3 linked regions of the Nothobranchius furzeri genome follow. The protein of the gene in region 2 purifies or fractionates together with the protein of the main gene of each other region. This does not show direct contact. Links are inferred from orthologs where the notes say so. Each region holds a gene or a part of one and is shown on either strand. Other genes may lie near its edges.

What was found.
Region 1: the proteins of usp10 (region 2) and sirt6 purify together in Homo sapiens (affinity purification with western blotting; 4 studies listed by BioGRID, with this or other methods). This does not show direct contact. The link is inferred for Nothobranchius furzeri from reciprocal best matches to the Homo sapiens genes USP10 and SIRT6.
Region 3: the proteins of usp10 (region 2) and prkaa1 purify together in Homo sapiens (affinity purification with western blotting; 3 studies listed by BioGRID). This does not show direct contact. The link is inferred for Nothobranchius furzeri from reciprocal best matches to the Homo sapiens genes USP10 and PRKAA1.

The regions. Positions count from the first base shown.
Region 1 is NC_091751.1:57,917,251-57,920,903, forward strand, and holds part of sirt6 (NAD-dependent protein deacylase sirtuin-6), read left to right. Parts: intron 1-2,979; coding exon 2,980-3,162; intron 3,163-3,653. UniProt on the Homo sapiens protein: NAD-dependent protein deacetylase, deacylase and mono-ADP-ribosyltransferase that plays an essential role in DNA damage repair, telomere maintenance, metabolic homeostasis, inflammation, tumorigenesis and aging.
Region 2 is NC_091749.1:59,302,900-59,307,341, forward strand, and holds the start of usp10 (ubiquitin carboxyl-terminal hydrolase 10), read right to left. Parts: upstream 2,911-4,442; 5' UTR 2,811-2,910; coding exon 2,631-2,810; intron 2,150-2,630; exon of another isoform or gene 2,017-2,149; intron 1-2,016. UniProt on the Homo sapiens protein: Hydrolase that can remove conjugated ubiquitin from target proteins such as p53/TP53, RPS2/us5, RPS3/us3, RPS10/eS10, BECN1, SNX3 and CFTR.
Region 3 is NC_091746.1:66,880,580-66,884,232, reverse strand, and holds part of prkaa1 (5'-AMP-activated protein kinase catalytic subunit alpha-1), read left to right. Parts: intron 1-257; coding exon 258-399; intron 400-3,653. UniProt on the Homo sapiens protein: Catalytic subunit of AMP-activated protein kinase (AMPK), an energy sensor protein kinase that plays a key role in regulating cellular energy metabolism.

The sequences.
Region 1 (3,653 bases), on a different chromosome or scaffold from region 2:
ATGACTGACTCCAAATGCCTCCGTTTCAAGATTGGTCTGAGGCGAGTAAAGCTTGTGATTGGCCATTTCTTTAAAATTTGTCAACAGCACCTCCATTTGTCCTTCAAAAAATAAAGAGTGCCGAAGATATCTAGCAGCAGACACAGAGCAGCTTGAAGAATAACTTGTGGAAAATCTCTGAAAATGTGAGTGTTTTATTCACCCGTGACTAGAGGAGTAAAAAGCAACCGTTTTATTTGTGGATGGAAATGACAGGAAACGTGGGTTTAAAGGTGGCGAACACACAAAGAGGTGGCGAAATATGAGGGACAAATTTGTCTATGTTAAAAGGAATCTGAAATACAAAAATAACACAATATAAACTCCATAGTAAATACACTATCTTGGACTGGATACAGGACTGTAATGGTGACAGGATACCCCAGAAAAGTGCAATACCCTACCCTAACCACCAACCCTCTGTTGTACTGGTGAGGAATTTCTTTGCAACACTCCACAGCTAATGGAGAAGTATAAGTAACCACTTCAAATGTAATGACTAAAAGAGCGTTCCAGACCTTTAATTGTTCAAAGTCTACCATTTATAGATCAGTGTGAGCTTAGTTCACTAATGTAAACCAAGCATAGTTTTTAAATATAATTTTACTTGGTTTCAGAGACAATTGTATAAAAAGAGCAACTTCTAGAAATGTCATAGATCCACAAACTATACAACAAAGTTTAGATTGTAGCTGTCTTGTAGTTTTTTTCAGTTGTATTTAGATGAGAGGGTGTATACGACCAGAAACTCAACATGAGATGGACTCCACATCAGCTCCTTGGGTAGTTTTAGACTCTTTGGTATATAAAATAATGTATTATCCATTTTTAGACTTCTCCTGACTGTTGAAGGTTATTTTCTTTCATTTAGCTGTAGGCAGATTTTTTTAATGCTTTATTTTTCATGATCAGATTAACATTTTGGTTCATTAGTGATTTCAGTTGTAACCATTAAACTTTATTGAGGCTAAAGTTATTTATATTTTTACATAGATAAAATAAAGTGGATATTTTGAATTAAGGTCTAACATTTTCTTTTGTTTTATTTCAAATAGATTGAATATTAACATTCAGAACTTGCCTTACATATTATGACATATTATGCAAAACTCATCTTTTGCATCCTTGTGCTGCCATATGAATGTCTACTCCCTCTATAAACACTCCATTTGTGGGAATAAAAACCCGTCCATCTGTTTTCTGTCAGTGTTTGATTTCAGAAAATATGTTTCTAAAACAAGCAGTTTCAAAAAGTCCTTCTTGTGATGTCACAAATGGGGAAATTGGCAAAGAATGACCTCTCATGTAGAGCTGGGTATTGATTCAAATTTCAAGAATCTTTGGTGCTTAAAGTCCCATTCCAATAATCTTTTGTAGCTGTTTTAAACAGTTCTCAGTGGTCTTTAAACTGGGTAAATCCATCTTTGGACGTACTAATTGATCCTCATGAATTTTTATGAGAATCGATTTTTTTTTTCAACACAACCCTATGAGCTGCTGTTGGTTGAACAGTGGCTCTACCCCGAGCCCCTCCCGAATGTCTGAGTGGGTGATGGGTGGGCATGGTCAGCTCTAGCTTGTTTTCTTTAAGCGACAGGGCCTTGAAATGACTTATTCTGGAAGGTACTGAAAAGGTCATGGATAAAACTGCTGAAATTGTCTCATGTGAGAGGGATCTAGTGAAAATAACTTCATTAAAAGGTTTTGTTTCAGCCATAGAGCTATGAGAACTTGATAAGGAAGGTCATAATATGTTTTCTTTTAAAGTACAGCAATAAAAGTCAGACCCCTCATAGCTGAAGTTGGTACACATCAAATCATTGGAAAGTCATACATGAGAATTTGCCTGCTGCTGACATGAATAATTCCATAAATTATTCTTCACTTTAGGATTTTTTTATTATCTCATTAATTTCTTATTGGTGCTGAATTAGATATTAGAGCTGACCAAATAACCAAGAGAGAATACCTGACTGCACGTGAAAAGCATTTCTTTCTGTTGTAGTACCGTCGTTCAGCACAGGAGGGTGGTGTTTGCTTCAAATCCACCTGGAACAAAGTAGCATCTTTTATGTTCTTCAGTACACCAAGATGTGCTTTTCCCCCTTGCCCTACAAAGTAAACCTCTACAAAATCATATGTGAAGTGTTATTTCTGTTTATATTTATACACACACATACATGCTTAGGGATGTGGAACAGATGAATATTCGATTGATCTTCCTGTCAGTCAGCTGGGTGTGACCCTGGAGGTTGCATCATTAAAACCAAGGTTACCGTATACGCGCTGTTCCCTCTAATGCAAAATGCATTCCTGCCAGAGATGTGCACAACGTTCATGCCCCCCAGGTTAACATGATTGACGGCATCAAAGTGTGTGAATGCACTGATATTCATTGTCCTGCAGTCTGTTTTTGTGTTTTCCATGGCGATATGTGACGTAAGTGATGAGTGACATTCGTCCCAATGCCTCGCCGCTGACGAGCCTTTGAACTCGTCTCTGCTGAGCAGGCATTAAACCAAACCGCTGATAAAAGATTGAGCTGGAAGTTCAAACTGAAAGCGAGAGATGAGTCTGTTTACTCTCGCGTTTGAGGACTGACAGGGTGCGTTCCCTCGTCTGATGCATAGACACGGGAGTCCAGTCAAGACACCTAAACTGTCCTGTTAAACAAAGAAACACAACTGCCAACATCTCAGTTGCTGCTTATGATATTTGTGCTCTTAGAATAATTTTGTATCTTCAAAGTTTATCTAGAAGGAGAAAATTCAATCAATTTTTCATATTTTCATTGGGATTAGCCTAAAAGCTTTCGACAACATGTTTACACACATTTCCAATCCTGTTACGGTTTTACTCCTTTAATAACAAATTCAGAATGCAGACATGTTTCTTCCCCTTTCCAATCCCCTTAATGCGTGCTCCATGTATTCTCTTCAGGGGTCCCAAGGGAGTGTGGACTTTAGAGGAAAAGGGTGAGTCGCCGCACTTTGATACCACCTTTGAAGATGCGCGCCCCAGTTTGACTCACCTGGCCCTCCTGGGACTGCAGCGGGCCGGATACCTCAAGTATCTCATCAGCCAGAATGTAGATGGTCTGCACGTTCGATCGGGCTTCCCCAGGTAACCTCATTCTGTAGCTGTATCCCACCACTCCGCTCAAGGTAGATTCAAAATCATTATGTGGAACGTACGATCGATTGACCGGAATACAATTATTTAAGTTCAGTTCAGATGTTATAGTTGGTGCTTATGGTTTTACTTTGAGTTTTCAACCCATCGTTACAGAAGAGACGAACACTGGCTTCAGAAAGAGTCTGGAGACTTAACCACCAGGAAGTGGGAGACACATCAGACCTTTAAAACTGCAGTAAATCTGTGTTCCAGAGCATATTTTATTACTGCGCCCAAATTTTACTTTTCTGAAATAGTTTTGCTGTAAAATACGTGCAGACTTGCTTTTATATTCATCCATCCATCCATTTTCAGCCGCTTATCTGGAGTCGGGTCACGGGGGCAGCAGCCTAAGCCGAGAGGCCCAGACTTCCCTCTCCCCAGCCACTTGGGCCAGCTCCTCTGGGGGAATCCCAAGGTGTTCCCTGGCCAGGTGAGAG
Region 2 (4,442 bases):
GTGCAGCCCTAGTACACCCGCAAGTTCCGGTAAAATTACCATGAAGTCCCGGTAGTGGAAACACACCTAATGAACTCACAGGCCGCGCTGTTAATCCTTTCAGAGCAATAAATAGCCGGCTGTGAAAAGGGAAGGCACAGAGAAAAGAAAGTGCAGTTCAAGCATATGTAACTCTTTGCAAACAAGGCCCCCCCATTAGGGCTCACATTGCTGAAACAGCACAACAAGTGACAAACAGCCGGCTTTAATCCCAGCAGCCTCGGAACAACTCGGTCACAACAGAAAGAATGTCCCTTTGCATCTTTTTATGAGCATACAACAGATTACAACAAATTGGACATCTGTATAATTTCAGCTATTGCACGATGACACAACACACTTGACCATTTCATGAAAACTCTGAGATACACACGGGTATAAAAGATGCCAAGATGCCAGCAGATGTATTTGTTTCAGGCATATTCATGTGATTTATGAGAAACTATTATGGTATTAAATAATCTTCAGAAATTTTCTACATAATTAAACGACTAAACCAATTTGCTTCTCTGCAATATTTCTGTTGACAAACCTTTAATATTTATGAAATCTACACGCTGGGAATCAAACACAAATTCTGAGGAAAGTTTGTGTACTCTGACAGAAACAGATCCCTATGTCAACATGAGAAGCTGTAGAACACTGCTAAGTGTGCATGCACCTGCAGGGACATGTCATTACTTTAAAATACACATTAGAAGACAGGAAGGATATATACTTTTAATTGTTTTAATATAAATAAGCAATACAACTATATTTCTTAGCAGTGCAACAACTATTAAAAGTGGTATTTAAGTAGAAATAACCCAAAATGCAATAATTACTACCTGTTCACCATAAAAAATGTTTAATTCTGAAAGCCTGAAAATCAAATAAATCAAACATAACTTGTTTCTGTCTTTCAGCCTTTAGATTTGAATGACCATGCAAAAAATAAGCAGAACCAAATCTGCCATTATCAATAGAAACGGGTAAAAAGTATAACTGACAAGATTTTCCAGCATGACCTGTTTCCTAACCTTTATCTCTTCACTATAGAAGAAGTATGACCTGCTTTGACTGATGTTTGTATTTGGTAACCTATAAGTGTGTGCACACATTTTGTTATTCAGTTCACTTTAACAGCAGCTGCTTCATTCAAGAATTTAAATGTGAACAACAATTAAACAGGATTTTTTAAATCTAATAATGGTTGAAATTTGCTCAATTTAAATGGAGGGGAATCAATATTTCTCAGTAAATATTGACCATTTACCCCATGCCTAAAAGTTGACAAATACTCTTGTGATAAGAGAAATCAAATATTTCAGGGCTGATACCTGATCATTTCACAACGTAAATGTACTTTTGTATAAAAGGGGGAAAAAAGGCTGAAACTGAATTTAATTTATTTTATTTTTATTTTTTTGGTTCTCGTAAACCACTGCTTTGCTGAACAGTCAGCCAACAGAAATGCTCAGTTTGGGGCAGGAAAAGGTGTGAAAACATAATTTCCAGTGATACGTCGCTTCCTGTAATAAATATACATGTTTTGTTGAACATTTAATTCAAACGAACGGCTTATGACGGGTTCCTAATTGATGTGCTTTCGTTTAAATAAAACACTAACTTTGAGTCAAACACAACAAACCCCGGACTTACTTGCAAGTTACTGCATGCACACCTCAAAACGGGCCTTCCCACATGAAGGTTAGCCTCCACGGAATTAAAACCCGAATCTGCTTCCTACAGACTAACTTCTATCACACAGCGAGAAGAGCTAGTTTGCGTTTGCATACGCGAATTGCCCATAGCTAATTTTATCGTGTGTCTACTTACGTTTGCATAAAATGTCAAAATACGAATTAAGGCCCACGCTGTCGCACAGTATTCAGCTAACCAGCAAGCGAAATGACAGCAATGCACACCACCTGTGCAAAACTGCTAGCCTGCTAACAGCTAAATAAGCTCGAAAATGCATCTCATCTTTGGCTTTACTTCTGCTAGCATACGCCTACATTTGCTTGCGGAAAAATATCCGCGAATCGGAACTTGCACCTGATATTGGACGTGTATTCAGTAGTATTGATTTAAGAAAACAAAGTCGAGAAGGCCCGTGTCAGCAGAGCAGGTGGGCCGTGCAAACACGCAGCAGTTTCCTTTCCTGTGACTTCTCTCTTAACAAATAATTCATGACAATCGTAGAATCTGGTACCAAGCAATCCCTGTCGTTTCATTATGCGGGCTGTAGAACCGATTAGATGAAAAAATGCTTTCGTAGCTTTTAAAAATAGCAGTAAGCAGTACTGCTGGCTCATTTGAATGGAGGATCGCACGGCCTGTTAGCAATGTTACCATGCTGGTTGTGTTTCATTGGGAGGAGGGGGGGTGGATGGGGGGCATTAGCAAGCACTTTTCAGCACTACGAATTTCAATGACACGATCAAATCGCTGTTGTAAATGAAAACACACAACTTAGCATAACACGAATATGGTATGATAATTATTTGGTGAACATGTTTTTGCAAAAGAGAGGTGATCGTAAAGCTTTAAATAACGGTTAGATGAATTCCACATTCAGTTGTTTTACTGGCTAATGCTAGCCGAGCTACCTGGTTGCTGTAAGAAGCCATGCTCCTGGTGAGATTTTCTCCCCTCCGCTGACCAGATGAAAACTTCCCCGGGAAGGTGTTACGGGTTTGTAATAACTGCAAACAGTGCTCTACTTTGACGTCATTGTCAGTGGTCCATCGATGTATTTTCAGTTGAAAACTGTGATCCGTGTAATGCATCCGCACTTCATGGTGCTCGACTTGCCATATTCTTCGCTAGCTAGCCAAACCAGCGCGCGGTCGACGAGTAGCAGCGACGGCTCGTGGAGTGATGGTAAATACTTCCGTTAACGGTTAGCTTGTGCCTTCACAATAAAAACATTGGGAATGTCGTAAAGTTGTAATATTTTGGGCAAATTTATTTAAAAAAATTACCAAAAAATGGCATATTACAAAAATTGCAATTATTATTTACCTTTAACATTTCAGTCTTTATCTCTGAAGAAATATGTTTTTTTTATGTTTTCACAAACATGTTTCATAAGAGTTTCATATAAACTTGTTGCATTTAGTTTTACTTTGTACAATTTTTTTAATTATCAATGAAAAATAAATGAATAAAAGTAATTGTTACAACAGTGGGACTTATGTGGTATCAGCTTAGTAAAATTCGCCTTTTATTATTTCAGTCAATGTGATTCGAACTCCAGCAGAGCTTTGATAAGTTTCATTAAGTTTGTCTGTAGAGTTGTGTACTTGACTCAGGTGAAATTCATTTCAGCAGTGCCCGCCTCATCTTTAACATTTTGATTTAATTGTGGGTTTATTCTTTGCAAAGGTCCCTGTCATTTGTGTAATTCCTCAAAGGTCCATCTTGGGGCCAGTTCTATTTACATTATGGGTCCTGTATCCTATCTTTCACATTTTTTAATCATCATTTAGAAAATATCCTGATCTAAATGCCCTTTAAGAAAAGAATAGAGAATAAATTAAATTTCTTTGAAGAAATGATATCTGCAATAAACTGTCAAATAATTTGAAATTAAAATTTTTAATGTTAAAAATAAAAAGCTTCACCCCTACAACATAAACCCTTCCTATGAAAGTAAATAAATATAACTAATAAACATACACGTTTGTAATTTTGTAAGTAGCCTATAAAGCATTTTATTTTTTAATGAGACCTTGAAACAAACTGCCTCCTTTGGCTGTTAATTAAATCAGAATTAAACGAATAATGTGATACAGGACAATTTTTGTAGCTTTAATGTTAAATAGGTTAAAATAACAGACTATGGACATTGTCTGAAGGGTTCCACAACTAGACAATAGGTCCTATTTATTTACTTGTTCATTTAGTTGTTTATTTCAGCAGTGAACATTTTGTTTAATACAACAGGTAGACTATATCAGCTGTTAAAACTCTCGTATACAAAATGAAGAAAACAAATTTCACACGAATATCTCCAATCTGTTATTATTTCATATACTTTTATTATGAAAAGTCTATTTTCCTCGGCGGAAATGCTTCGGATGAAACGGGTAAATTCACTTCGCTTGAGCGCTGACCTCGTGGTCGTGTGTCGTCCGGGTTGTGGCATGAATTGCCAAATTTGGTGTTCTAGACATTAGTTTAACCGAAAACAAAAACTTTTATAACCGTTTTCAGTTTGATCTAAATCTTTGCGAAGAGGTTTCCATTTTTGTCCAAAACAGCAAAATAACAGCAGTTTTTTGTTTGGGAGTCCACACGCACTAAATAAATGGTGCAGAAACATTTTTTCACATAAACAATACCTTCAACACAAAGATGGCAATAAAAACGCATTTAAACCACCGTTATTGGAAGAGTTTCTGTTTAGTGCTCAGCTC
Region 3 (3,653 bases), on a different chromosome or scaffold from region 2:
TGTCTGTTACATGTAAACAAGCAAGTGTGATTATATTTGTTTAGCTCAAACTCACCATTCTCCCTGTGTTTTGTGTAAAAATACAGAAATAAGAAGTAATCACAGGCTTAGGGTTGATACTTTTGTTTGTTTCTAAGAAAACTACACTTGTCAAGATTTTCTGTTATGAAGATGTGCTTAATTATGTTTTTCATAATTTGCGAGCCTTAGCTGGATGATTTGTACTATTCAAACACTCTGATGTGTTCACCCTGCAGTGGGCCAACATGAACTCACCAAGCATCAAGTGGCAGTGAAGATCCTGAACAGGCAGAAGATCCGCAGCTTGGATGTGGTGGGGAAAATTCGTCGGGAGATCCAGAACCTCAAGCTTTTCAGGCATCCTCACATAATTAAACTGTAAGTCCTAGATGACACACTGCTCACTTCTCCATAATCCCCTCACTGCCACATTAATGCCACCCACTCAGCTGCTTCCAGACTTTAGAACGGTGTGTTCACGAATACAGCCATCAGGATGATGTCTCTCTGACCCAGTCTGCTCTTCCACGAGCGCTCGGCCTGCTAGTTGCAGCGTGACCTCTTTGTCATGAATCCCTTCATCTTTAATGTGAGATCATAAGTTGCCGCTTTTATTCCAGGTTTATTAGTTGCTACAGTAATCACACAGGCTGTCATGTTTTAGGTCGTTTGTGGGCGACATCTGCACCAGTTGAGTCTTTATTACACCCTAATGTGCCAAGTCGAGTTAACACACGTATACAAATACGTGTTTTTACTAGCATACAGTAGGAATGCACAGACACTGGAGTAGTACTCATCTAAAAATAGTGTTGGAAATTGCAAAAGTACTTCCTGTCTGACCTGTGATGTCCCGAGTATTTCAGCTGCAGCTAGAGCGTTGTTAAACGGACCAGGAGGGGTGGGGGCGGCTAATCTGAACATCAGCTCGTGTCGTGCATGCACAAGAATGTAAACTTTGTGTGTGAGAGCTGCACAAACCTCTGGGACAAAGTGTGTAACTCTGCCTTAGAAATGTCATGCAACATAAACCTAAACCGCCAGCAGTGCTACATTTATTGAATCTCTGCATTAATGTCATGTTTGTTTATGTTTGTTTGTTTTCCAAGCCCTTACATATCTGCATTGCTGAAGTTGCATAAACATTTTTAAAGGTCAGGCTGTTGGTGTGAAAGGTGGATGTTTGATTTGTAAAGTCCTAAAACAGAACGAGAAGCAACAAAGATTTCTGAAAATAGACAAAAGGTAGTCTGATCTGATGTGTATTGCTTTTAAAAAAATATAATCTTTAATTTTTACTTATATTGCTGTAAGGACCTAATAAAGATATTTTTTATATTTAATATTAATAAATTGTATTTAAAAGCAACTATTAGGAGACCCAAGGAGGGCTGAGCAATAAATCAAACATTTATCGTTATCGAAATTTCTGACTCTTATGGGGATATTGTTTCTCATGTCAATAAATCTGATAATAAAAACTGAAAAGAGGTGTGTAGGTTGGCAACGTTCATGTCCCTTTAAGAAGCTGTACCACCTTTAGTCACGTAAAAATGTGACTCAGCGTATTAACAGCCCCATCTAGTGGACAACTTTTTTTTCTGCGCATACCTGATCGCCCAAGATGCACCGAGGACGTACCGTCCTGTTTGTTTAACTGAGTGGCGCGCTGGCCCGGAGCCAAACGACGGTCCCGAGCTGCGCACCTCCGGCTATGTTTATCCGGTCCCGGGAAAACGTCGGAGGAAAAGAGGTAAACGAGCAGGAATCCAGGTCAGAATAAGACTTCTCTTAAAGCGTGGTTTATCTAGTAAACATCGGCGCGATCTTCTAGCTTCTTGTCCTTTGTTTGGTGACCTGAGCGCCACTTCCGCATTCCCGCCAGGCCGCTTTGCAGCGCGGTACATCCATCCAAGTTTTTTAAGGTCGGTTTGTCCTCATTCCTCAGTGGTTTCTCCTCCTGTTCCCTCCATAAGTGGTTTTTACAAACACCGTGGATCTAACCCTGCTAATTTATGTCCACTAACTCCAGCTGTTTCTGTAGTTTCTGATTCCTCCACCCTCACTCAGCATGGCTCTATTAAATACCCGCTCTGTTAACAATAAGTCCTTCCTGCTCAATGATTTAATTCTCTCTAAAAACCTGGATTTTCTGTTTCTGACTGAAGTTTGGCAGCAAACATCTGATTATTCTGCTCTGATTGAACTCTGCCCGAGTGGTTATTCTTTTCTTAGCCAGCCCCGGGGTTCTGGTCGTGGTGGAGGCCTAGCTGTTGTTTTCAGAGACCATCTTCCAGGTAGCTCTACAACCTCTGGTCAGTTTGCTTCCTTTGAACTGCAGCTGATTAAAGTCGGGCGTAAGGACCCGTTCTACTGTGCTGTGGTCTATTGTCCACCTGGTCCAAACGGTTCTTTCCTTCAGGAGTTTAGTGACTTTCTATCCTCCACTGTGAAGCTGTCCAGACTGGTGATTGTGGGTGACTTTAACTTCCACGTTGATGATCCCTCTGATCACTTTGCCATGAATTTCTCCAGCCTTATGGACTCCTTCAGCTTTACCCAGCATGTTTCTGGCCCCACACACACCAGGGGGCACACTCTAGACCTTGTTTTTACCCTGGGTCTAAATGCTGACAGTGTTTGTCCTGAGGACGTTTATATTTCAGATCACCATTGCATTTTCTTTAACTTGTCAGTTTCTGCGTCCCCACCATATGGTTAGTTCTCGTTTTCTTAATGAGAGCACAGCTTGCACATCCACATCACCCCGCTTCTCCTCCAGCTTCACTGGCTGCCAGTCAACTTCAGGGTTCATTTCAAGATCCTGGTTCTGGTCTATAGGGCCTTACATGGACGAGCACTATCATACATTGGTGATCTTCTCAGTCCCTACACCCCCAGCAGGTCCCTGAGGTCCAGTGATCAAAGCCTACTGGTTATGCAGCGCACCAGGCTAAAGACCAAAGGTGACAGATCATCTGCAGCTGTGGCCCCCAGACTCTGGAACTCTCTCCCCCTGAGCCTGAGATCAGTGGACTCAGTGGTCTCCTTTAAAAGCAGCTGAAGACTCACCTGTTCAAGCTGGCCATCACCACTCTCTCTTTATTCTGCTCTCCCCACCTATTCCACCTTCCTCAGGATCCACTGATTTCCCTCTTTCCTATTCACTCTCTCTTTCTTAACATTTTTTAATCACAATTGCCTATTTTTGCTAATTTAAAATATATTTTTAAACATTTTCTAAATGCTTTTTTATATTTTTACATTTTTTGTTTTTGTAAAGCGCCTCGTGATTTTTATCTTGAGAGGCGCTATAGAAATGATATTTTCTTCTTCTTCTTCTACCTGTAGTTAATGTCCATTTATCGTTATTGAGGTGAAATCCTCAATATGTTGTGATATTGATTTTAGGCCATGTCGCCCAGCTCTACACTCAAAGTCAGTCCACAATAAAAGAGACAATAAAACGGATCAACAAAAACAGTAAAAAAAATAACTAGTAAAAGCAAACACAGTACAGCAGTAGGTGGAAACAGCAAGTGACAAACCGTGTAGCTACAGATGTCCGAGTCGTGTTATTGGTGGTTTTTAGACAAATGCAAGAGAACCACTTTAATGTTTTTCTTTTTTTT